Coturnix japonica: one gene and its partners. The protein of the gene in region 2 interacts with the protein of the main gene of each other region in a pairwise test. Links are inferred from orthologs where the notes say so. Each region holds a gene or a part of one and is shown on either strand. Other genes may lie near its edges.

The links.
Region 1: the proteins of PCBD1 (region 2) and HNF1B interact in binary tests that used the Homo sapiens proteins (3 or more experiments, as listed by UniProt). The link is inferred for Coturnix japonica from reciprocal best matches to the Homo sapiens genes PCBD1 and HNF1B.
Region 3: the proteins of PCBD1 (region 2) and HNF1A interact in binary tests that used the Homo sapiens proteins (3 or more experiments, as listed by UniProt). The link is inferred for Coturnix japonica from reciprocal best matches to the Homo sapiens genes PCBD1 and HNF1A.

Annotation. Positions count from the first base shown.
Region 1 is NC_029534.1:7,401,195-7,405,767, forward strand, and holds the start of HNF1B (hepatocyte nuclear factor 1-beta), read right to left. Parts: upstream 2,898-4,573; 5' UTR 2,736-2,897; coding exon 2,398-2,735; intron 1-2,397. UniProt on the Homo sapiens protein: Transcription factor that binds to the inverted palindrome 5'-GTTAATNATTAAC-3'. Binds to the FPC element in the cAMP regulatory unit of the PLAU gene. Transcriptional activity is increased by coactivator PCBD1.
Region 2 is NC_029521.1:9,422,158-9,426,553, reverse strand, and holds the start of PCBD1 (pterin-4-alpha-carbinolamine dehydratase), read right to left. Parts: upstream 3,103-4,396; 5' UTR 2,980-3,102; coding exon 2,977-2,979; intron 2,801-2,976; exon of another isoform or gene 1,911-2,800; intron 965-1,910; coding exon 833-964; intron 490-832; coding exon 409-489; intron 85-408; coding exon 1-84. UniProt on the Homo sapiens protein: Involved in tetrahydrobiopterin biosynthesis. Seems to both prevent the formation of 7-pterins and accelerate the formation of quinonoid-BH2. Coactivator for HNF1A-dependent transcription.
Region 3 is NC_029530.1:8,078,400-8,083,124, forward strand, and holds the start of HNF1A (hepatocyte nuclear factor 1-alpha), read right to left. Parts: upstream 2,891-4,725; 5' UTR 826-2,890; coding exon 491-825; intron 1-490. Other genes in the region: SPPL3 (signal peptide peptidase-like 3), read left to right, coding at 3,030-3,115. UniProt on the Homo sapiens protein: Transcriptional activator that regulates the tissue specific expression of multiple genes, especially in pancreatic islet cells and in liver. Binds to the inverted palindrome 5'-GTTAATNATTAAC-3'.

The DNA of each region.
Region 1 (4,573 bases), on a different chromosome or scaffold from region 2:
CTTGGAATAACCATCCAAGCGCTTTTCCAATTCATTCATTATTTTGGATCCTTCATCCTGTCAAGATGGAAATGCCCAACAAAAAGGTTTCTTACTTTTTGTCTCGAATGCAGCAAGGAAACAAAATTGCTCAGTTCCCAAGGAGTGCCCACAGCCGGGGTACCCACTGCGGGGATGGAGCCGTGCGCCCCGAGCCCGGGTGAAGGGAGCGCACTGCTGTGGGAGCGGGGCTTCATCCTGCCCCTGTTCAATAATTACTGGGTCCTAATGAGTTGGTGGAACAGAGCTTGTCCTGACAGCAGCCTGGCTAACACAAGGGCATCGCTTTGCCGGAGCCTGGAGCCAACACTCCAGTGAACACCATGAAAACAAGTGACTTTGGGTTACAGATGTGATTTCGGAATTGAAATGGAGTTTTATTCCCAGTATTTGGGCTGGGGAAAACAAACAAACAAACAAACCAACCAACAAACAAAGTGGGAATGAGTCCAGAAGTCCTCACATATCCCTTCACTTTAATATTGGAATGATTTTTAACTTCAGCATTTCCAAAGCGCTCCGTTCCTGTGCTTTGCAAACAACCCCTCAGCTCTGAATTTCTGAGCAACGATTTTCTTTACAAATCAACTTGACCGTATTCAGAAGGGTTAAACAGCCTGAAACCAAACCCAAACATTTTGTTTCATGTTAAACAAAATGTTTGGACTTGACCCAAAATGAAACGTTTGAGTGTTTGTTCACCTCTTCTCTTTTTTATTTATTTATTTTTTTTCTCTCTCTTTTTGGTGAACCTGAAAAGCCAGAGAGGAAAACATTTCCATTCAACAACTCGGCACAAACCAATGTGGGGGTTCTGTCCCCAAACCTCCATGGGGATGAATTTTACACGCAGGAAGAAATAAAGGCGCAATGCCCCAGGTGCGCTGTGCGGCACTGCAAACCAGCTCACAGCTCTCACCCCGCGGCCCTTCTCCGCCCCGCGCGGCCACTGGCACCGAGCTGAGCGCCGCGTTAGTACGGCCGAGTGTGGGCAGCACTGCCCGGGGAGGGGGGAGGGGGGCAGCGCCCATCCCTGTCCCCCAGGCCCCCACCCGCTCGCCCTCTGGGTCAGCCTTGGAAACAGGTAAATAAGCTCCACATCCTCCGAGAAAAATGCCAAGAATTTATACAGATGGATTATAAAGCCGGCTCCCTCCATCGGGGATCTATCTAATCTGCATCTCCCTGCGCACACAGCGGGGCACAGCGCGGGTCAGAGCTCCCCCAGCGCGGAGCCCTTTGGGGCCCACGGAGCTGCCCACGGGGCAGCGCGGCACAGGTCGGGGCCGCGCACCTCTGCGGCCGCGTGGGCAGCGTCGGAGCGGAGCCGGGGGTCGCGGGGTGGTAGCGGAGGGGGCTCAGCCGCACGGAGGGGCAGAGATCGACGGCTCCCGTCGCTCCTGCCCCGGCCGCCTTTCTCCAAGTACAAAGGGCTCTCGTAGAGCAAACAGAAGCTCTTTGCAGAAGGCTCCTCAGGGACATGTGCCTGCTCTTGTTTGCACCGAAGGCAAACTTTGCACAGAAACACCTGTGGGAGAACTGCGACGCGGGCACAGCCCTCACGCACCCCCGGGGGCGCAGCGGCAGGGAACGGGGCAGAGCGACGGCGGCAGCGCCCGGCGCGCGGGTGGCGGCCCGCACCGGTGTCCCCTCCCGCTCCCGAGCGTCCCATCCGAGCCCCAGCGCTGCCGCCGATGTGTCTGGGCTGCCCGGCCGCACGGACGGGCACGAACGGGGCTGGGGACACGCGGGGATCTCCCACGCAGAATCCGCCTCCGTGTATTGGGAGCGGAGCCCCGCTGCGGGCACCGGGACTTGCGGGGAATCGCCCCCGACGAGCGCAGGGCTGCTCCGCCGCTCCATGACGGCCCGGCCCGGCTCTGCGCGGCCCCGCACGGCGCGGAGCGAACGGGCTCGGCCAGAGCGGGGCGCGGAACCGCATCCCCCGGGACCCGAACCGCCGCGTTTGGGGGTTTCCTCGTTCCCCCTCCCCGCCTGGTTTACAACTCCGGCAATGAATAACCCGCCTCTAATCGCGGCTCTTTGTGTATCTTTCTGTTGATGATTTATAGAAATAAATTAATAACACTCCGAGCTCCACGTGCTGCAGTTTATGTTTTATCTCCCGGCGCGGAGGGAGGACGGAGCCGAGCCCCGGGCGGCCGCGAGCCCGTGCGCCCCTGACCCCTCCACCGCGGAGGGCGACGAACACCCGACGGGGCGGCGGCACCGCCCGGCACCGCGCCGCTCTCGGTGCGAGAGAGGGGGCGGCGGCAGCGCCCTGCCGGGACGGGCGCCTCGGGAGCGAACCCCGGAGCGGAGCACGGGGCCGCGGGAGCGAAGCGCTCCGCCGGTTACCTGATCATCCTGTCCACTTCTGCCCGCTGCTCCACGGCCTCCTCGGTGTTGAGCGCCTGCAGCTCGCGGAGAATCTGCGGCGTGTCGAAGTCGTCGCCGTCCTCCGAGCCCTCGTCGCCGGACAGCTTGCCCTTGCCGTGCCCGTTGGCCAGCGGCACGAAGCCGGGCTTGCCGTCGGGCGGCCCGCCGGGGGACAGCGGCAGGCTCTCCAGTTTGACGCCGAAGCCGGCGGCGGGCACCATGTCCTCCAGGGCGCGGATCAGCCCCTCCTTGGTGGCCCCGGAGCTGAGCAGGGCGCCCAGGAGCTCCCGCTGCAGGGCGCTCAGCTGGGACACCATGGTCCCGGGTCTCCCCGCGCTCGGCCCGGCCCGGCCCGCCTCCCTCCGGCACCTGCCGCTCCGCCCCGGCTGGCAGGCTGTGCGGGGCGCGGGCCGCCCTCTACCTAGCCATGACCGCCTCTATTAGGCATTATACCTTATGCAAATCAGCTCCGAGAGAGCCTCTCCCCCGGGAGCGAACCCCGCGTCCCCGCCCGCCACGGCCCGGCCCCCGCCCGGCCCTTATCGGGCGCGCTGGGGCGGACTTTGCCCGCGGCCGCCGTGAGGCCCCGAGGAGCGGCGCGGAGCGTTCGGGGCAGCGGCGAAGCGGGGTTCGGTTCGGCCCGGCCCGGCCCCGAGCGGTGGCGGCGCTCCGGGGGAGCGGCCCGGCCCCGGCGCGGAGCGCGAAGTGCCGTCGGGGGCCGCTCGGAGCGGCACAGCGCGGAGCCGGGCGCTGCCTCGGGGCTGAGCCCCGGCGCTCAGTGCTGAGCCCCGCTGTATAAAACCGTGGGGCTGCGCGGGGCCGGGTCCGAGGGTCCTCAGGCAGGGTCCCGTAGGGGTCCCGTCGCGGGGTCGGGCACTGCTCCGTGGAGGAGTCGTGGCAATGCGGCGAATGGGACTCTGCGGGGTAGCGCTGCTCGGGAATGCGGAGTGCCCTTCGAGCCCCGATAGCCGCGGGGGTGGGGGCAGCGGAAGGCATCGGGGACCTGAACAAAAAGAGCTTCTCCTCCTGCTGTGAACGCACTGAGTCACAAAAGATCAGCAAATTGACCCGAACCAAAGCAGGCGAGATACGAGAGGCACCAGCACATCACTGAACACAACGTAGGGAAATACGATATCCAAACCCTTCACCCACCACCTCCCATCCCAGCAAGCTGCACTGCCCAATGCCCTCCAGCCATGCCCTGGCAATGGGTGGCAGTGCTTTCTGAGATGGCCACTCCATGCCCACCACTCAGCCCAGGTTCAGACTGTCATAGCATCCCTGGAGCCATCGCTGCCTGCCCACCTCGAGGGCTCCAGGAGCCCTAAAATGTCCCAAGAGCCACCAGCGCCTGGCAGACCCTGAGCACTGTAGGAGCCCATTTGGGGCAGGACTCTCTGCCCTCACTGAGCCCACCGGGAAAATGTGGGGCAGTGTGTTGAGGGAGCAGGAAACCTCCCTGCATGCCTGGCTGGGATCCGGCAGACAGGTGTGTGATGGTTCAGGTTTTGCATGAGCACAGTGTACAGAAGAAAGGACAGAAAAGCCCCCAGGGCTCCAGCCTAAGACCCAGCCCTGCTCCCAGCAGCCTGGCCAAGAGCTTTCCCTCTGCCCTGCTCTCAAACCCACACATCTGCCTGCTGGGTCCCTGACAGCCGCACTCCCATCACTGGGACATGGGCTCAGACGCAGCTGACCCCGCACTGCTGCTGGTCGTGGCCACAGGGCCGTGCGTGGGACCGCAGCCTGGGAACAGCTCGGGCCGGGGCAGCTCCCCTGTCCCTTTCAAGTGGGCCAGTGAGCTTTGACTTGGTCTTTGCACGGCTTCATGGCATCGCATGATAATAATGTTCTGTCACAGTGGGTGACCTAGACTTTGTCCTATTTCCACACATTCGGAGCCACCTGGCTAATGAAGTGGATATTGTTTTCTGGTCCATCTCTCTCACCCTATTGCTCTTCCCCCTTCCTCCACACCCAGCTCCTCTGAGCGCTGTCAGGAGCCCCACTGCTGCCCGTTCCCACCGCTGTCGGGCACAGCTCATTAACTCCCTTCAGCAGAAGGCCGCGTTCACCACGGCTGGGGGGCAGCGGGAGCCCCGTGGGGTGGGAGCACAAAGTTTCCCAGCAGGATGGTGCTGGCACAGTCCAA
Region 2 (4,396 bases):
TGCAACCTGCTCGATGAAGCTGGCCAAGTTGATGTCTCTCTCGGATAAACCTGTGCATTCATGGGTGCTCAAGGTGATGTGAACCTAAACCAGACAAAGAAAGAGTGCTGCTGGCTGACAGAACAGGAGCAGGTTCCCCCACTGCTGCTACTTCTGGTACTGACCTAAAAAAGCAACTGGTGCTAGTGCACCCATAGCTACTGCCCAGCTGGGCAGAAAAAAAGGAGGAGGTGAGGGCTTGTCAGTCATAGCTACAGGCTGTCTGTGGTATGCCAAAGGAACAGCATCCAAGGGAAGAAGTTCTGCAGATCTGACCAGGACTTGCTGCTGAGAGTGCAGCATTATGCCTGACAAATGGGTTCAGCTCCCTGAAGAGCTCTGATTGTTCTTGCCATCCATGCTTCTTACCTTATTGTACACGTTGAACCATTCAGGGTGGTGATCCAGTTTTTCTGCTTGTAGAGCCACTCTGGTCATGAAGCCAAAGGCCTGCTCGGTGGAATAAAAAGAAAAGTTAGCTGTGAGCTGCTTACCCTGTGCTATATTGCTATTTGACCCCTATACTATTAATTTTGTACCCTGTGTCTGTAGGGACCTAGGCAAATGGCAAGACATGGATGTTCTGTATCCCTGTTGGGCTTTTCTATGGGTCTTCTTTAGGAACTTTTTCCCAGACAAACTGTGTGATGAATTGAGGACTTTGGTGTCTTGGGTAGATTATCTTGCTGAGCTATCACGTTTTAGAAAAAAGAGGGGTTTCTATGGCTGAGCCATGCAGGTGGGACTCTCTGCTCTGTAAAACTGTCAAACTTGGTATCACCAATGCTCATACCCGATTGAAGTCCTTGAAGTGGAACTCTTTGAAGATGGCATCTCTTCCTTCCACCTCGTTCCACCCCACGGCTCTCAGGTTTGGCAGCAGCTGCTCCCTCTCCTCTGCATTCAACCTGTGGGCTTTACCGGCCTGGCACCAAGGAAAGGAAGAGAAGCAGATCAGCGTGGCAGAGGTAGGAGGAAGCAGATATGCAAAGAAATGAGGCAAACCCATGGATTGTGGAGTTGAAGGTCAAAGTGGTTGCGAGGCATGGAATGCATGTGCAGCCCTGAACTGCGGGATGCTAAGGATGGGGGGATATCAGTGCTGTCCTCTGCTCCCCAACTTGGGTACCTTTTGGCACATACCTAGGTCAAGTGAAGCCCAGTCTGTCTTCTGATCTGCACCACCTAACAAATAGAGCCTCCTGGGACACCTTACTGCTGTATGTTTTCATTATAGCCTGCAGTACCAAGAAATGGTGTCTGTGTGTGGTTAAGCTTCCAAAATGCACAATTCAGTTTTCTGTGGGGTGGGGTTGGGAGGAACCTGTAATGACTTCCAGAACTAAGACCTGCTTGCTTTTGCAGTTTGTGAGGTACCCTCTGGAAGCAGGAGGTTTATTTGCAGGGCAGTTGTGCTGGAAACCTTCTCTAGAGGAGAAGAAATGCAGCATGAATCACAGGTGAGTCACACTTCATTGGAATTCAGCTCCTTTCAGTCTCCCCGATGCTATGATGGATTTTAAGAGGCTGTTTGTCTGGGAGTAACAAAGGGCAGAGGGAGGGACTGTGAATTAGTATTGTCTTCCACTCTCTGGCACAGCTGTTGTTATTTGGTCTTAAATGGGAGAAAAAAGCTCCAGTTCTTGGCTTCAGCTTGTGTATGAGGCAAAGATGAAACTGAAGCAGAGGGTTCTTTGGGTGTCTGCTGGCTCAGTGGGGAGGGTGGTGTTGAGTTGGGGATGGGTGCTGATCTATGTGGAAGATGCTATTCTAGCAGTTGAATTCTTTCTGAATGGATGAGAACTGTTTCTTCTCACTAGCAAAGACCAACATGTTTTTGCAATTAGTTTTCCTTTGTGCTGAAGGACAAAGTCTGGCAAGTTAGATGTTAGTCTCAACCAATGCAGTCTGCTCTTTCTGAGCATCCATATACCCAAGCAAAGAGTCCTAAGGACTGCAGTCAGTGAAGCACAGGACAACCGAGGAACTGATGCTGCTTTTGTAGGCTCTTCCTTGGTTTTGCACCTAAGGAAGACCGAGCCACCTGTGTGTGATGGATGCCAGCCGTGCAACAGCGTGCTCTCCTCCTACATTTACTGACAGCCTTCCACTCTGCCAGCCCCCGACGCCGTCCTTTGCTTTGTGCCACATTTAGGCTTGCACCCCCTCCAGAGCTCCACCTTTCGAGGCAGCGAGCAAACACTGCTCAGGGCAATAAACCCTCGGCCCTGGCGGTGACGTGGTAAGGCGGTCGGGTGGCTTAGCAACTGAGCAACGTGGGGCCGGGCACTGCTGCTGTCCCCGTTCAGGACGCTGCTTTGGTAGGCCACGTCCATGCCTTCGTGCGTGCTCACTCTTATAAAACACATGGTTTGCACTAGGGGTAATGCAATTATTCTGTTCTCTTCTGCTGGCTCTCCACCATGGAGGCATTGTTTGGTTGTTGTTTGTTTTTTTGCCAGCAGGACAGCGTTGTGCAACACAGGCTAAGGACCTAAGCATGGGAAATGGGGAGAGCTCACCCCTCAGGGCTGTCCGGCCACAAACCGACCCTCCCTGCCCTAACATCGTCGTCCCCGTAAGGGTGTTGTGCCACCTGCGTTAGGCAGAGGGCTCGGCCCTGGCACGAGCAGGCAGTGACGAGGCCCCTCGTGGGCTGTGCAGCCGGAGCAGCACGAGCGGGGCCACGCGTGCACGGCAGGTTTTCGGCAGGGCCACGCTCGGCGCGCCGCAGCTTTTCCTTCCGTCCCCCAGCACACCGGTAAGCCGGCGGCGACCAGCAGAGCTGCCCGCGTTACTTATTAACCTCACCGCCCGGCTCCGCTCCTTCCTCCCTCTCCTCCCGCCCCTCTCCTCGATCGCCGGAGCCGCCGCCTTAGCCCTCCTTCCCCGTCCTCGCCCTCGGGGCGGCGGCCGCGCTGCCCGCTGCCCACTTACCATGGCCCGCGGCAGTTCGTGTCCTCCGCGGCGGTGCGGGCCGGGCGCTGTGCGGGCGGTGGGGCGGGCGGCGTGGCGGGGCTGCGGGAGGCGTGGCGAGGGGTCGGGTCCACCCACGACGGCCGCGGCCCTCGGCCCCACGCGTCTCCCTGGACCGGGGTTGTCGCAGGGGGCCCCTCGAGCTCCGCAGAGAGGATGCTGAGGCACTGGCACGGGTTGCGTGGGGATGTGGTTGATGCCCAGTCCCTGGAGACTTTCAGAGTGAGGCTGGACCAGGCCCTGGGCAACCTGATCGAGCTGTGGTGTCCCTGTGCATTGCAGGGGAGTTGAACTTAAATGGCCGTCAGAAGTCCCTTCTAACTCTAAGGATTCTGTGTGCTCACGCACATCTTGCTTTTAGAATCCCTGAATGCCACAGAGACAATTTGTTTCTCCGGCAGACCTGTTAGAGGAAAGCACGTACTTCCTTTGTTGTCCATTGTAAGTTTACTTACTGTGATAACAAGAAGGAAAAACGAGCATCTATTCTGTTCTGTGCCTATGTGTGGGGGGAGGGGGCTTGGAAGGCAGCTCAGTTCCTGAGTAGATCAGTACCTGTTGGTAAATCTGAAGCTGGAAGTTTTGATGTGGAATACAGGAGGAGGAGTGCTGCACAGCTTCCAGCAGTGAAACCAGGAGCTGGCATTGTGTGCAAGGTTGAAAAAGGCCAGCAGAATGTTCTCTGGGCAGTGGTTTGGGTTGCAAGAATGGTGCTTGCCTCATTGCGGCCCCTGCGTACAGTGGCAAGGGCAGGTTAAGGAAGCAATGATGTAGCAAAGTGGAAAATCATGGATACACTAATTACAGTGTATCTACTGATTACACAGCTCCCTTATAATGCTATTTTCTCTCAGAGGGTATAAATCAGCCCTTAACTGCCAGCCGTGTGCATCTTTCTGCCAGAGTGATCTCACATGTTTCTGCTGAGAAGTGTCAACAGGGCAGTTGTGATTTTCCTCTGTGTACGTGTGAAAACGGGGCTGGGAGATACTTTGCCTGGCTGCTTTCATTTCTTTCGGATGGGACGGACTCTAGATTTGCTTTTAATGATTAACCGAGCTCTGTTGGGTAAGGTGTTTGTTCAGAGCATTTTGCAGCCCTGTGATGGGACCATGCCTGTCACAGGGCAGAGATTTCTGCTCTTTTCCCCCTCTCTTTTTGCCTAATTTAAAGCTGTGCTTATTTGAGGCTGGGTCAGTGTCAGCTTAATTTGTGTGCATTGCTGTAACATACCCAAGGTGTTTCTGCATTTGTGGAGGGAGATCTCACATCACTAATCTATGTTTATTATGTTGTCTGTACCTTTTTAACAAAATCCAGCTGGCTGTGGAAGCTCCTTCAGTTGGCATCCATGTCAAGGTTTGCTTTTTGACTTCCCCAG
Region 3 (4,725 bases), on a different chromosome or scaffold from region 2:
CAATACTCCAAGGAGCAGAAAATTAAAAATATTTATCACCTTAAAATTAGCAGGAAAACTTCACAGCTTCACTTGACCGTACATTCACTGTCTAAAACGATACCTGTTAAGAGTGTGACCAGATAGTAGTTTTTTTCTTTCCTTGATGACTGAAAATTGGAATCCTATAAAGGTATAAATGTCAGGAACTAATGTTTAGTCAGAGATGCAATTTATGCAGCCCATAAACTGTTCCCAGGCCCGATGATACAAGTGTATCAAACTCATAACCAGGCTCTGTGGCTCCCTTTATGCATTTGAAGTGAGATTGAAAGAGAAAGTTTGAGCATCTGTAAGAATACGGGGAGTGTTCTGGGGGATAGTCAGGCATGGATGGGAACTCTGCAGCTAGATCAGTTGTGAGTACGCGGAGCAGAGGGGGTAAGGGAAGGAGACTTAGCGGGAGAATGCAAGAAAGAGCAGCAAAGAAGAGCAGCAAATCTTTCCTTACTGTAATAGTCTTTCCACCACAGCCTTCTGGTGAGCAGCCTCCTCAGGGCTCAAGTTTTCCAGCTCCTTCATTATCGGAGGGGTAAATTCCTCTCCATCATCAGAGGTTTCATCTTCCGATAACCTGGTTTCCCCCATTCCATTGGGGAGATTGGGGATTTCGGGGCAGGACTCCCCTTTCTCTGTCTGCAGGGCATTGATAGCATGCTGACTTTCACTCTGGAGCATGTAGGGTTCCGCTTCGCTCAGTGCCTTGATCAGGGTCTCCTTGGTTAGCCCTGACTCCAGCAGCGCTCCCAGCAGCTCCACTTGAAGATGGCTCAGCTTCGAGACCATGGTCTTCAGGCTGGTGTTTCTTGGGCTTGAGTTCCACGTTATCCTGCTTCCAGCTTCCCTACACCATGTTCCCGAGGTAACACGCCCGACTGTCAGCAGCGGGCACAGCGCAGCCTCCCGCCTTTACGCCCCCCCAAAAAAAACAAAATACAAAATTGAGCCACTTCAGACCCCCCACGACTGTCCTGAGCCAGTGCTGATAAAGGGACCCTTGGCTATCTGTTTACATTGGTAAATTCTCCAAGGTTCATATTTATCTGTGTGCTTAGCAAGTTACTGAACTTTGGACTTCAGCACTGCAGCAGCAGTTCACAAAGTGCAGAGGGAGAGAAAGCAGGGGGAGGGGGAAAGGGAGGGAAGCAGAGAGAGGAAAATGAAGGGATAGGAGGTCTGCCAGCACGGACAAGTAAGCTATGGAAGGAATACTAGGAGAATGGGAGTGGGAAAACAAGGCTTGCTTTTTGGCCCTATTCATTGTAGAGAAGGAAGAGGTAGAGCACCTACAAGGAAGAGTTGCGTTCACCGGTGTTGGAAGGTTGCAGAGCCTACTCTGAGCTCTGGCCGTGGTGGGCTGAGGGCTTTGAGCTGCAAAAATACTGCCTTGGCAGCTTGGATTGCCTTCATGCAGCCCTCCAGTAGAGACAAGTGACCCCCCTGGGTTGGTAGGAGGTGTTCCGAAGACCCACAGGATGTTCTGGAGCTCCTGTTGACTTGTATGGAAGAGCATTGAGTCTTAAATGATCTTTTTGCTTCTGCCTTTGGCTTGCTGGGCATCTTAAGATGCAAACATCAACACCTCCATTAGAACTTGCTACATTTATTGCTGAATTGATGAGAAAAAGCTGTGTATGCACAAAATTCAGCTATTACTCGCACCATTGAGCTTGTGATTCAAGCACATGGTAAGGACTAGCCCTGGGTGCTGGTACATGCTGAGAGTCCCTATCTGCAGCTGCCTTGCTTCTGAGAAGTGCTCTGGGCAGCTTTGGCTCCCGTTTATCACCTGTGCCTTGATACCAGCCCTGCTCTAATGTTCTACTCCCACCTGTTGTTTGAATCCTGAAAACATGCTCTGTAACTTCACTGCAGTACTTTCGGGCAGTTCTCAGGGAATCTTCCCATTTCAAATGGCTGAATTAGGAAATAACTTGGTGTGAACTTAATGGTGCATGAGCATCTTGTAAATAGTTCCTACTTATGTGATCAACAGAAGGACTTAAAACTGTTGTTTTAATGGAAGTTTCCTATGGGCAGCCACTTGCCTTGTTTTATATTGCTTCCATCAAGCCCAAGCGAGGGGGAGCCTACTAGAAGTGTCTCAAAAGCAACTGATATTCCAACACAGTGCTGCTGGATGGCCTGGGCCCCTCTTTTTCCTTTATGGGCAGCATTATCCATGCTCTCGTGGTGCCTGTGACAAGGGGCCAAATCAGCAGCTGAAGGACAAGAGTTTTTTTTTTCAGATCAGACCCCCTCTTCTAGGCCCAGCAAACTGTGCTTGGGCGGCTGGGCTGACCTTCCTACCAGAGCTGTTTCTAAAGATCCACATTTATTGTAATGCAAAAAGAGCATTTAAGAAGTGGTGAGATTTGAGGTTCTCCTATTGATGCTTTGATGCAATTTGTGTGCATTTTACTCCCCATTACAATTTTCCTCATCCCCACCTCACCCTAGCAGACATGCCAACAATACTGGCCAATAGTAACTGTACATTGCAAGTACAGCTTCCAGTCACAATACCTAGTTTATTCACGATGCATCCTTATAATTCAAGGATTTTATGAGCGAGGACAACAGACTGTGGGCACCAAGCAATGAATGACAGAAGATTCTGTCTTTTCCTGTGGTATGAGGATTTCTTAAACTAGGATGGACACTGTCATCATGGTTCTTATTTGAAAGGTTGCCTGGTCTGAGTTCTGTGACTGTATGTGCTTGTTGTATGCTTTGGGGGTGGGGGATGCACAGCCCTGAGTTCACACACAATCATCAGTCTGCCAAGGGAACTGTAAAGAGAAGAAAACATAGCAACAAATGATCTGTGTATATTGTGTGGTTTCAAGGATTCCTTATGCACCCAGAAGCCTTCTGCCTTGATTCTGTGCACCCTGCAGACCTGCAGCTGCGGAGGCTTTTAGAACAGCCTGTCTTGAAGCCAGTGAGATTTGAAGACTGTGAAAACAGAAATGAACGTCTGTTTGTAGGCTGGGACCTCACCGAATGCCACGGCTGGATGCCACGTGGAGAACACTGAGCTGAGTATGGAATCTATTCAAACACTGGGAAGGAGGTAAGTCTACTCAATCACTTTAATCTAAAGAGCAAACCTAGAGAGCTGTCCATTATAAACTATAGGTACATAAACAACAAAGAAAACAAGGAAGAAAGAAGTGTTCTTTAAACAGCTCCATCATCACCTTTATCTTCACTGTAACCCACCAGTCTGTGTTAGTGAATGGTCTGAGGCTCTGTTCAGTATTTCAGGTTCTCTGGAGCAGGAAAACTAGTGATCTTTGTAAAGTTTCTTCAGGGTTCCAAATTATGAGCCATCAGACCATGGACCTGGGGAAATAGGGAGGAGGCTGCTGCCATATATCACCTAGCACTCCTATTTTATGCACTGACACAACAGATTGCAACATGGTATTTCTCAGGTTTTTACCATTTCCATAACATGCTGCTGGGAGGTGTGAGGTATTAAGGATAGCAAAGGACAAGGTGGGAAGCAGCAAAGCTTTGAGGCTGGATTTGAGTTCTAGTAGCAGAGCAGAAAGTAAATAGTAGAGTGCCACAACCCAAACAACATACTCCTGTAACTAAATTATACCTCACAGATTTTGTATTGAGAATGAGCATTTGAAAGAAAAGGAGTTTGTTTTGCTACACTCATTTTCATTTATTACCAGTGTTTAGAATGTGTTGATTTCCTTAATTGCAACAATTTGCTGGGCCGTGACTTGGTTCTTAAATTACTCAGACTGCTGTAATCGTGGTGGTTGTGGAAGGGACAGCTCTTGAAGTGTGGAAACATGGAATGATTTTGCTCATTCTTCTCTTGTTTCCAGTGTCTGTTTTTGAATTTCTTGCTGCAAAATTGTTTTCTTTTCCTTTTTCCTTAAATTCGGTGCTTTGGTGCTAAGACATGAGCAGCTCTACTACACTAAACTGGACAGAAGTCACAGCAGGATCATGAATGTTTTATTAACAAATCGATTTAGATGCACATTTGAGAAACATATCAGTTAGTAATCACACGGTCTGATTTCTATTTTATTTTAATAGCAAACGTAATAAAGACTCTTTAAACATGCTGGAATGCTTTGCACTGTTGTATGTACACCTTAATACAAGTTCTATGTTTTTCAGTTATGATTTTCTTCATTTCTCCTGAAGTACAGGCAGCTTAGGCCATTTTAGGTAAGGATGTGCCCACTTCCTCCAGTCTTCCTCCATTAGCTGTTCCAACGTAATCTTTCTCTGCTGCAGGTAATAGAGTCATTGAACTGTGGATTACTTAAGACTGACAACTGCTGCATGAAAGTATAAGTGGGTATACAGTAGGATTTTCTTATTAGTTAGACTTATTAGTCTTTATTCTCCTTACTATACCAGGGAAAAACCCAAATAATAGACAGCGGGGTCCTTGTGAACAGAATAGAGATCAGATAATAGACTCCCAAAGCCTGAATTCTTGAATCAATACGACTGTTACCTTTGTTTTCATGTGCTGAGTAATACCCATCCTTAAGTGTTCCTGATGGAATAACGCAGTAATGGGCTAAGGTAAAGGCAGCCCAGTGTGACTTCAAGGAGCACAAAGGGAAAGAAGTCTTACTATTTCTATGACAGAAATGCTAGCAGAGCAAGCTTGTATGGGTCTGTGAGCATGGTGGGAACGTT